2 linked regions of the Schizosaccharomyces pombe genome follow. The protein of the gene in region 1 interacts with the protein of each later gene in a pairwise test. Each region holds a gene or a part of one and is shown on either strand. Other genes may lie near its edges.

Evidence for each region. The genes of interacting proteins can lie anywhere in the genome.
Region 2: the proteins of prr1 (region 1) and mpr1 interact in a two-hybrid assay, tested with the Schizosaccharomyces pombe proteins (one study listed by BioGRID).

Annotation. Positions count from the first base shown.
Region 1 is NC_003424.3:3,664,298-3,669,607, reverse strand, and holds prr1 (stress-responsive DNA-binding transcription factor Prr1), read right to left. Parts: upstream 3,677-5,310; 5' UTR 3,602-3,676; coding exon 3,572-3,601; intron 3,475-3,571; coding exon 3,385-3,474; intron 2,629-3,384; coding exon 2,549-2,628; intron 2,496-2,548; coding exon 2,438-2,495; intron 2,295-2,437; coding exon 933-2,294; 3' UTR 521-932; downstream 1-520. Other genes in the region: translation initiation factor eIF2B epsilon subunit tif225, read left to right, coding at 1-303. UniProt on the Schizosaccharomyces pombe protein: Involved in oxidative stress. Transcription factor that acts upon trr1 and ctt1.
Region 2 is NC_003423.3:1,201,052-1,207,318, reverse strand, and holds mpr1 (histidine-containing response regulator phosphotransferase Mpr1), read right to left. Parts: upstream 4,268-6,267; 5' UTR 3,563-4,267; coding exon 2,675-3,562; 3' UTR 546-2,674; downstream 1-545. Other genes in the region: SPOM_SPBC725.03 (pyridoxamine 5'-phosphate oxidase), read right to left, coding at 1-279; aspartate aminotransferase Maa1, read right to left, coding at 5,345-6,267. UniProt on the Schizosaccharomyces pombe protein: Binds to the msc4 response regulator which is part of a multistep phosphorelay system that transmits oxidative stress signals to the spc1 MAPK cascade.

The DNA.
Region 1 (5,310 bases):
GTAATGACACGTTGGGGTCCATTGCTTGCAAAACTGACATTTAGCCATGAAGAGCAAGTTGACAACGTATTAACGCTGCAGAAGTACTGTGTCCGTTTGAGTATGACTCGGCACTTTTTACAACTTTTGGGATATTTCTACCAATTAGAAATTGCTGAAGAGAATGCCATTCAAGAATGGTATTCTGATCCCCGCTCTAGCGAAGGAGAATTGGCTGCGCTTCGTGATGCCGGTGGCAAACAATTTGTCGACTGGTTGAATACTGCTGAAAGTGAAAGCGAGAGTGAAGAAGGGTCAGAATAATAGTTCCCTTACAAATCCTGAACTCTGACTTAAAACAGTGTTATGAAAGTGGTTTCTGTCTACTCAAAAAAAAAGGGTCACTCATAATTTAGCTGGCTATTATTTTCTAGCAAATAATAATACGATAGAGAAGAAAAATAAAATTTTGGTCTACAGGGCGCGTTGTTAAAATCCAGCACTATTCTGTTAATTACACGCATAGTTATTTACGATAATATCAGTTGGACGAATTCAATATTTTTAGCTGAAATGTAAGAAATACAACAAGCGAATGAAGATAATATAATTTGAGCAAACCGAAGAAAATAGTGGCTAAAATACAATGCAAAAACTGAAAAGTTATATTGATTATGTCTCTTCTGTACATGTTTCTAGTTGTAGTTGATATGAAAGACAATTCCGACACTGTTTGGAATTTGTGGAATTTAAACAACTAGTCATGGGATATGAAAAGCCTTTCTTCGAAAAGAAAGCCTTAACTTGAACCCCAAAGAGAACATAGATACATAGACCAAAGATTAAACCTTTAACTAAATCAAACAGAAGTGATAGATAGTTTTTTATATAAAACAAAAGTAAAAGAGACCTGATAGTAAAAATAAGAAATATATAACATTAAGACTTTTCCATCAATGTGGATGCTGTAAGTCTGCTTGAATGGGATCCTGTAACATCTGTTGAGGATACATAGGAGCATCATTCTCTAAGTAAAATGTCACAGGAGCCTTATCGTCTTTAGCTTCTTTCGTGGAGGGAACATCAGACATATTAATTGAGTTATCCGCTTGTAAAAGATTCAAAAGTTGCTTTTTTAAAAGTTGAAGTAGAGTCAACTTTGTAAATGGCTTAACTAATAGATCTGTTACACCATGATTAAAGTAGGTAACTGCATCATTCATCGATATATTTGAAGTTATAGCCAAAATCGGTGTGTTATGATCGTATTGACGAATTAAACAGGTTACAGACAGTCCATCCAAATTAGGAAGTATAAAGTCCATTAAGATGAGATCGAATCCACCAGCATTAGCTTTATTTACGGCACCAATTCCATCGACAGCTACATCGACCTGGCAATCAAATGAAGTTAAAAATTTGATAGTCATTCTACGAGAAAGTTCATCATCTTCGACAAGTAAAATCCTTGGTTGCCGCTTCCACAAGCCAGTAGTTGGAACAGCAGCGCCCATTTGAGACATGGACGTTGCTACTGAACTAGCTTTGGCAAGGGAATCGTTTGAAATTTGAGAAAATGACTTTGCCATGGAAGCATTGGAGTCAAGATGGGTGGTAAAGCTTCCTGGATTTGGATGCTGAATCGGTTGAAATTTTTCGTACATCGGATATGAGCCATGGGCGTGTGGATTCAAAGAATGGTCATTAGATGATAAAGGGGTATTTAGAGAGGCGGCAGAGGCCATGGAGTCTGCCGGCTTTTCCTGATTTGCCAGTTCATAATCAGATGAAGGAGTATTATACAAAGAAGGTTGTGCTGTGCCAAGATTGGTGTCAACAGTCATCTTTGAAGAAGCGGTAGTAGCAGCGGAAGCCTGTTGAATTTGATTTGGTATCTGTTGTGGAGAAGTAGTTGCAACTTGGCCCTTCGCTAACGCTTGGTATGCATTTAATAACTCCTGGAGAGGATGAGAGGGAACAAACATGGCTCCGGGATTAGCTTGCCGTTGAGTAGATCCCTCTAAATCGCAGAGGTAAGATATGATGCTACTCATAAGCAAATCTCTAGACTCAATCCCCCGCTTGAGTTCAAACATTTTAAGAAGTATCGTTTGGTAACTTGTGGCAAGACCCGAAAGATTTCTATCAAGTAATTTTTGAAAGTCTAATATAGAATCCACCTGCTGTTTTAGGTTTTCAATAACTGGAGCAGTGTTCTCGTTAGCTAAATTGCGCTTGGACGGAGCCTTTCGCTTAATATTGTCGAGCAGGTCCTTATGATGAAGCTGAAAGTCGTCATGACGAAACTCCCAAGCCTAAAGAAGAGAATGATTAGTATAATAGAAATTCTAAAAGGAGGGATGGCTTTTTTACAAGTATGATGGAATGAAGACAAGTTTGTTTCTCAAACCTATTCAACAAGTATGAAGCCCCTAAATCCTTAACCCATATGACATACCCCTTCACCATATATACTCGGCGCGCCTTCTTCGTGCCGTACTTTGTGAAAATCATATCTAGACGATTAGCAAGTGTAAAAAAAAAATAAATAAATAAAAATATCTCATACTTGTTGAGTTGTCGGACAAAACTTGCAAAGTTACTATGTTTGAAGTGGCGAGGCAGAATGGTCTTTGTAAACTCGTTGGTCTAAAAAGCAGTAAGTTAGTGATAAACTCAGGGAAACAAAGGGGAAAGGGGAAAAAGGAATTTTGAATGCGGAAAAGTAGATTAGAGTGACAAAGAAAGGAGAAAAATGCAAACGTAAGAGAAAAAAAAACATAAGACTAGAAGAATAGCTAGTCAAAAGCCAAAGTTTAAAAAGAAGGTAAGGCCTAAAAATAAAATTGGTCTCTAAGAGATGTAAAAACTATTACTCAAAAAAGATGATGACAAGGAATAAGTCTGTTCGAAAAAATCGAGATGCAATGCGAAAAAAAAGGACAAAGTACTAGGGTATGGAAACAAAGCAAATTCGACGACTCAGGTTTACGGGCAAACTGGACGTTTTTCAGCGTAACATTGGTAATACTAAAAAGAAAACAACGAATAGAATTGTTTTATTTCAAAAAGAAAAGCGATTTTTGTAATAAAACAACCCGATTGTTGCGATAGGAATCTCTTGCTGCCTCAAAAGATTCCTTTCCCATCATTGTCAATCCTTTTTAATTCAAGTTGTAATCAGAAAGAAAAAGGAAACAAATCAAGAATAGTAAAAAAATTATTTTTTAGCAAACCTTCAAAAAAAATCTCCCCTCTTTTACTAGCTTTTCGAGGATAAACAATAAAAGTAGAATGCTTTCTCTGGTTAAATAACAACAATGGCGGCGATAAATATAATGATAACTCATTCTTCCTTTCTTCTCTCTTTTACATCCAGCAAACAAATTTTCAAGGATTTCTTACATCCAACACAATAAAAGAATCCCCAGAATCGCTCCAGCGCAGGATATGCCTATATTCGGGTTCTTCCAACATGTTGAAGAGTTTTCGCACCTAATTCAACAACGTTAGTATGAGAAAACATAGTTTTATCACGAAACGTGAAATTTTATAATTATAAAAAATTCATCGGAAAAAGGAACCAACATACAAAGTCGGAGGATCCGTTCGAAGACGGCATCTTCTCGTTTAATATATGACCAAACGGTCGTATTTACAAAAAATCTTCACCTTTTCAACAATGTTGTTGGTTGTTGGAGAGTTGCAAATTTTGAGGTGTGGTGGATATGACACCCTCGAGGCTTCCATGTGGCTATTTGCCGATGCTCACAAGGGCGTGTTAGCTTACGCAACGTTGGTTAAACGATGAACGGCAGGAGATCGGCAATGCAAATTCGACATATTTTTTAACGTTAATTGCAGCAAAAACTTCTCAATTAATGAACCCTCAAAAACAATGCGAAACCCGCATATTACTGTCTTTTTCACTACCCTCCAGAAAAGGGATCTTTCGTACTGATCTCTCTCCTTTACGGTGCTTGATTTGACTTGATGATGCTGTTCACCGATTGCGAAACGTTGCAAAGTTAAATCTAGTATAGTGCATACCATCGTACTGCATTATCCCAAACTCTTCCTGAACCGGCTAAAGCGCGCGGGGCTCCCTAGGCAGTCATCATCGCAGACGTAACGACCGTCCCACATACGTTTGTGCAAGCGTGCTGTGGGCACAGCAAGAATAAACACATGGGATGGATGACACAGTAATAAGGCTGAGTTGCTGCGGTTCTTGGTAGTGTATCGATGGTGCATGCGTGGAGTATGTAGAGCAAAAGGATCACTATGCGATATTTCCTTGGTATAAACGCTGACACGGGATTTTTTAAAAAGCATTTTTTTTTCGATCGTTTACGTTTCCTTTATTTTTTTTATTGGAATCCACTGTGCAATATGCTCGTTGAACCATTCAGAAAAGAGATGCTCTTTATGCATTCAACACAATTGACCTTGCTATAAGAATATCCAGCAGACGCTCTTACTTTGAATGCTCAAGTGTGTGTGCTGCGGTCTACCTTTGTGTACAGTAGTTTCAACGTTAAAGGACAAGTGATTAGCTATGGGAGCTTATCGCATATTATAAAAATGCATTGGAATTTGGGAATACACACCCAACTTTGTGTACCCACTACACCTTGCAGTGGATGATGATTTTTTTGTCAACATCGTGTGATGCCGGACCAGACAAAACTTTTGACGCATACAGATCGACCAGCAAAAGCGGAAATTGCCTGTTAAAAAGCACCGAATGACAAAGTTTGAATAAACGACGCCAGGACATTGATGGACGAGTCCCTTTTTCTATGAAAAGGAAAGCGAAATAAACCGATTCCTCACTTGCTGATTGTACTCAATTAAACGAGGCTTTTACATTATCAACAAAGGGAAACAAAATAAGAATTGAGAAAGAAAAAGAAGTCCCCTGATTCATTAGAAATGACCCCTGATCCCTTGGCTCGGTTTTCGAACAAGAGAATAGATACATGTTATGCTTATTTGAAATGCTTCATAAGATTATATAAACGAAATAAATATTCTCATAGAATCCCATTATAAAGTATTCATCCTTAGAATACGTAGTTATTGGATTAGAAGACAATGTATTGATTCGTTAAATATCTTTTGCATCAAAAAATTTCTCCGCTCGTAAAATTATAAAAAAGATGGCGAGCGATACGATAAGTGCAGAGATAAGGGTATGACGCTATTAGTGCTGACTCAGCTCCGCGGTTTATTATTACACTGGCAATAGCAATAGCAATAGCAATAGCATTACATCCATGACAGATTTAACATAGCAAGGATAAGGGGTGCCCTAAAAGTAATTTAGAT
Region 2 (6,267 bases), on another chromosome or scaffold:
GGGGAATGTATTTTTTTGCTGCTCAGCAATCTCAGCAGCTTTGTGAGAAGCAATATCCGTAGAGAATACCAATAAATCTGTAGCTAGCACATCATCGGGACGTGGTTTATGCCATCCTGTACCGACAAATCCTCGAATAGCTACAGTACGATTTCTGGGGTAAATTTCATTACCAGTGGGTAAAGTTGCCAGCTGGAAGTATTCGGGATGAATAACTCCACTGGAGTCGACATTTTCTTTTAAAAGCTTCAATAACTCATTTTTCCAAGCGAGGGACATGTTGGCAAACGATGAAATGGGATGCACGTATGAATCCTATATAAGTCACTTGTTTGACTGAAACGTCATTGACTTTGCTAAGTGTGTCGTACTAAAGGTCGCTCGCTATACAGAAATGATCTCTAGATATCTGTATAAGGCACAACTCTAAAGTTCGGCTAAACTTACTAACGAAATCGTGTGTGATTTCTGAAAAAGCAAATTGTACGTTATCGTGGATTACACTAATTTTTTAAAATATTCCTCTCTTCATCTGCTCAAGAGAATTGGTAAATAGTAAGAGTAAAATCATTTAATATTAGTGCACAGAGAAAGGAAAATAAGAAAATAAAGACAATAACTAGTAACTTAAAACAAAAAAATAAAACTTTTAACTAACAAAAATGGTTTCCCCTTCTAGATCTTCAAAGAACATTGCAATCCATATTCCGTTGTTCAGTACCTTAATCTGATTATTCACAGAACAATGAGCTGCCATCTAGTTTGCAAATTGATATAGAAAAGAGTATGCATTGTCTGTGTACAGGTTTCCAACATTGAAAAAGTGAGAAATGACAGCTTGCATATCCTAACAGATTTCTCTCACACCATTAGTGAGGATGCCTAGTCAATCAAAACCTGTACTTGATTTCAGCAAACTTCGTCCTCTTATCTTTAATTAACATAAGATTAGTCATCTAAAATTTCAACTTTGATACCGAAAAAAGCGGCCAACACCTTCTCGCATACCGGGGTTGAACATCGGAATGCCGAAATGCGATATCAATGAATACATTGTAACATCAGAGGATAAAAACAATGATAAAAATAATTTACAAATTAAATTGTCTCTGTCAGGCGTATCACTTGGATTATGACCATTTGCTTCACATTGCCTAGCAAACTAAGAAGGCAAGCGAGGTTTATGCCTAGTTTTTGCACATCTGTAGCTTCCGCATATTCAATTCATCCCGCATCATTCTAGAAAAACAAGGCGACGAAAAGCTGCACAACGGGTATGAAAATCCTAATAACGCTTCGCCTCCAAAGGAACGTCTATGAATCCGCAGGATCCTACTTGCCGCGCTAATTAACGAGGTATACTTGATTTCGCTGTTTCACACAAATCAATATTTCAATGTTCTCTTGTCTTTGCGGAATCGAACAAACTATACTTCGATTAACAAAAAAAAGAAGTTCGTTAATTTCATTTCATCGCAAACGTGTTTTCTTAGTTTTTATTCTCAAAAACGAACAATCTACAACGAAGAATTGTTTTCGATCTTTAACCCACAACAACAAAAACATTTAGTAAGTGACGCTAAAAGTCAGTTCGATCACACTTGAAAGTACACATATTAAACGCTGAATGAATCAAATCATAAATAATTATTGTATGTAATGACCATTTTAAGGTGTTTTCATTAATCCTTTAAATAATCTCTCTAAAGCGAGATAATGACAAAAGCAATCATAATTACAAAAAGCAAGAACAATATACTTAAAATTTTTGCAAGGTTTGTCAATCAATATTTGAAGTCCACCATAATTCACAACTCAGTAATGTACAAGGACGTGAAGGTTATCACCAAAATCATAAAAAATCCATCAACATCTCAAGTTGAATAATAAAAAAGGTAAACAAAGGAGAATCAGGTACATGTAATGATTAACATTAGGTTAAAGAAAATTTGAAAACACAGTTTAAAAACTTAGGAAAAACATAAAAAAACAACAACAAAGCAAATCAAACTCGAAAAAAAAAAAAATCTGTCGCCAATCGTGGGGATAAATGAGTGTTGAAGAGTAATTTGAATTAACCAAATTCAGCATCTTAAACGACCGGTTGTAAACATATTATCTAAGGTTTAAAGTCCTTCAACATTAGGGGATTGGGCTTGTGATAAACAATCACAATAGACAATTTCGTAAATAAACTAGATAAATAAAGGTATAAATACATGCCACGACCGTAAGAACGTAACAAACAAGAATTTTTTTTTTCGAGAAAGCAGCTTATTAAATACATAAAGTTTGATATCGAGAGCTTCAAAAATGTTCCGTAAAAAAAAACCGCAGGAAAACCCTGCCTGTTGCATATCTCAATATCAAAAAGGTAGACGAGGTAAAGCAAAAAATAGACTGTTTTTGATAGTTTTGGATAGGGGATACTCAACTAAATTGAGGACTTGTATTACTTCACTCTATTTGCTTTGATAGAGGGAAGCACTTCAAAGTACGGGAAAAGTGTGGGCGTCATAATAAATATAACTATTCAAACCGTAAAAGCTGGAAATTCATCACTAACTTCAAGTTATCGTAAATTTGGGAAAACTAGAAGACTTTGATAGACAACTGGTATAAATGTCATAAAAAGGGGGAAAGAAAGGCTAGGTACTTTGACATGTTGAGACTTTTATGTAGAAGAATTTTTTTCATAAAAGTCAAGTAAGTAAGCTCGAGCATCCTTATAAAAGTCGTTCACAACCGACAGAGATTTGCTAATCAAATCCAATGCAATTTCCTCGCTCGGTAATTTCATTACACCATCACGACTGCGTAGAGATCCGTAATTTTGGATACGTTCACAAACCTTTCTCATTTTTGTAAGGCCCAATACAGCTGAAGATCCTTTAAGGAAATGCCCCAACGAGGAAAGCTTCTTCAAATCCTTAGCCTCTAGGGCCTTTTGGAGGTCGGCAATGGTAGTCTCTGCCTGCTCAAAATAATTCCAAACAATACTCTTACTAAATTCATGCTCATCATCATCATCCATCTCAAGCAACTGGTCAAAAACGGAATGATCAATGAGCTGTTTGTCTTGGATGAGTTCATCCTCAAATGACATATCGTAAGCAATTACTGAAAGTTCATCCGACAAGACACCAGCCCCAACCAAAGCTTTGACTGAAGCAGCGGGAAGATTTTTGGCATTCGCATGGTCATCGCTAATAGAATTGGAGATGTCAACGGTCTCCTCCGTGCCTTCAGGTGCGCCAGCCGTCTCATTAGCAGCCAATTGTTGATTGTTTTCACTTTTGCTCGAAGATATACGTGACGTTAGAGCAACATAAGCAGGATTTGAGGTCAGTGGTAAAGAAGTGTCATTCGCTCCAGAACCATTCATAACCCGATAAGCATGGGGGATCGCTGACCCTGAAGGAGAGCGTGCACGTTCAGCTATGCCAGAATCGTGAAGAGTCTTAGCAAGACTAGCGTTACGCGCCTGTCCATTTCTTCGGGCGACACGATTTTCGAAGTTTCGGTCGTATTTCATATACATGTTATCACGATATACACTCATTTTTTAGAAAATAATTAAAAGAAAATCCAAAAAAAAAAGAAAAGGGTTTAAAGTAAGAGCGAATGGAGAAGCTCAGCTAAATTTTATCAGCAGTATTACTTTGCAAACAGTAAAATGTAGCAATCGATACAGAATATTGTATCAGATTTAAGACTTTCCTTTTTTAACAACGATTTGAAATTAAAGCGAGGAAATGTGAGTTATTGAAAGAGGCGTCGACAACACAAACAAATTATAAAAATAATGTGTGGTATGCCAGCAAAATGAAATAATCAACAGTTTCACTAACCTGTAGTACAGTACAAGGGCTATTACCAAAAGAAGAAAATGGCTTTACCACACAACCCACAAATACTAAATAGGATTTGTGGATAAATCTCCTTCAACAACGATTCTAATGGAAAAGAGTCAATACGGTTTTGGAGCTTTTTTTGCGTGTTCGAAACTTTGATGCCAAGTTTTAGACGCCACACAAACTTGCCTTCAGCTTCTGCTAAGTTCTAAAATTATCAAGCTCTACTAAAAAGGCGATATTATTGTTTTCGTATCAATTCAAAAGACAGAAAACCAATCCTCACAAGATTGTTAAGTGCTCTCTCTATAATTAAGTTCAAATGCAACAAGGGTAAGGCAGAGAGTAGAGACTATGGTTTTGCCTGTGCTTATGTCTGATTTTTAGATATTCTAATGTAGTAAATGGGAGACGGAAAGTAGGTAAATGCCGCGAAAGAATTGTTTGCAAAACTCACACTTGGGAGTGACGCCATGCAACGTAATAAAGCAGTCAAATGTACCGATACACAACCACCCAAAACGATAAAGTATATTAATATAATGACGCTACGTCTCACTATACCCCGAATTTCAATGATTCCTCCATATCAGTCAGTGTAGAAAAAAAAGACGAACTGGAGATGGAAGAACAGTTTCCCACCATCTTTGGCATTTTCGGCCATTTCCTAATAAGCGCAGCAATTCCTGATGGCTGTAGCATTGCACATTGGGAGGGAAGAATGATACTCTTTTTGCAGATATTTATTTCGATATCACTACATAGGGCCTATCCTAGTCATTGGAAAGGTGCCAATTTCCAGCGATATTCTCCTATTTTTAGAAATAATTAAAAGCTTTGCACAAATTTCATTCCTACCTCACTTATTTCGTACATCTCAGAAGTTTGATGAACTTGGGAAATCCCAACATATGACAAATGCAATGGGAAAGATAATTGATAGTTTTCCAACGAAAAAGTGGGATTTAATATGTATATGAGAGAGGATAGTAAAATGTGCCAAATTTTGGGTTAACTAGAGGCAATCTAAAGTATGAAGTAAGTGAACTACTAGACAAACATCTACAGAAACAAAGTATGGAAATAAATGAAGATAGACAAACGAAAAGCATACTATTTCGAAAACGAATCAATATTTAGTCAATTTTTAGATCCAAAATCCATTCATTTAAAAACAGACCATGCCATCTATTTGGAAGCAAAACTGTAGTTATTCACCTCAAAGCGAAAGTATAAGGAAAAAAAAATAAGCCGAGACAATTAGGTTACTAAATACGTCTTCTCATGGTTTCGGAGAAATGAAAAGGGAAAAAAAATTAAATGTATACAAATATATGTATATGTATATGTGTGTTTGAGTCTGTCTATATGTATGTATAATAAAATAAAAACAGAAAGAAGAACAAAAAAGATTCAGAACAAAGAATCAATCAAAAATCCATCTGTCTATATAATAAACCAAAATCTTTTCACTTCAATTTCACCACCGACTAATTCGAAGTAACGGCATTGATAGCTTCGGCAAAGTATCTTACATTGGAAGTGTTGAGACCGGAGATGCTAATACGACCATTCTTAGTGAGGTAAATGTGATACTGTTTAGCCAAAACATCAACTTGCTGGGGATTTAAACCAGTATAACAAAACATACCAATTTGGTCAGTGATATGCTTCCAGCTGTGTTTATTCTTAAGGTCCTTTTCAAGGATGTTGCGAAGAGCCTTACGCATACTCTTAAGACGTTCGGACATGCCTACAACTTCACCAGCCCACTGTTCACGAAGTGCAGGGTTGCTCAATATATGGTTGGCAATTCTGGCCCCATTGACGGGAGGGTTGGAATACAAAGCACGAATGAGAATCTTAGTTTGGCTTTCGATACGAGCGGCTTCCTCAGCATCGTTGGCTAAAATGCTAAAGCAGCCAGCACGTTCACCATATAGACCCATGTTTTTAGCAAAGGATTGGCAGAGTAACATGGGGACATTGCTGGAGGCGAACAGACGAGTGGCATAAGCATCACGAGCAAAATCACCACTGGCAAATCCTTGGTAAGCCATGTCTAAAAGAGCAAAATGGTTTTTCTTTTGCATTGTTTTGAGGATATCATCCCACTGAGCTTTCGTAGGATCTACACCAGTTGGATTGTGAGCACAAGCATGCAATAATATAATAGAGCCATCAGGAGCTGAAGTTAAATCGGACAACATGCCTTTAATGTCCAACCCACGAGTAGCAGGATCATAATACTTGTAGGACTTAACGGTCAAGCCAGCTCGAGAAAATACATTCTTGTGATTTCCCCAAGTAGGGTCAGATACGTAAATAGTCTTTGATGGATAAAATGAAGCAAGGAAATTAGCTGCTATACACAAGGCACCGGTACCACTAATGGATTGAGCAGAAACCAGCC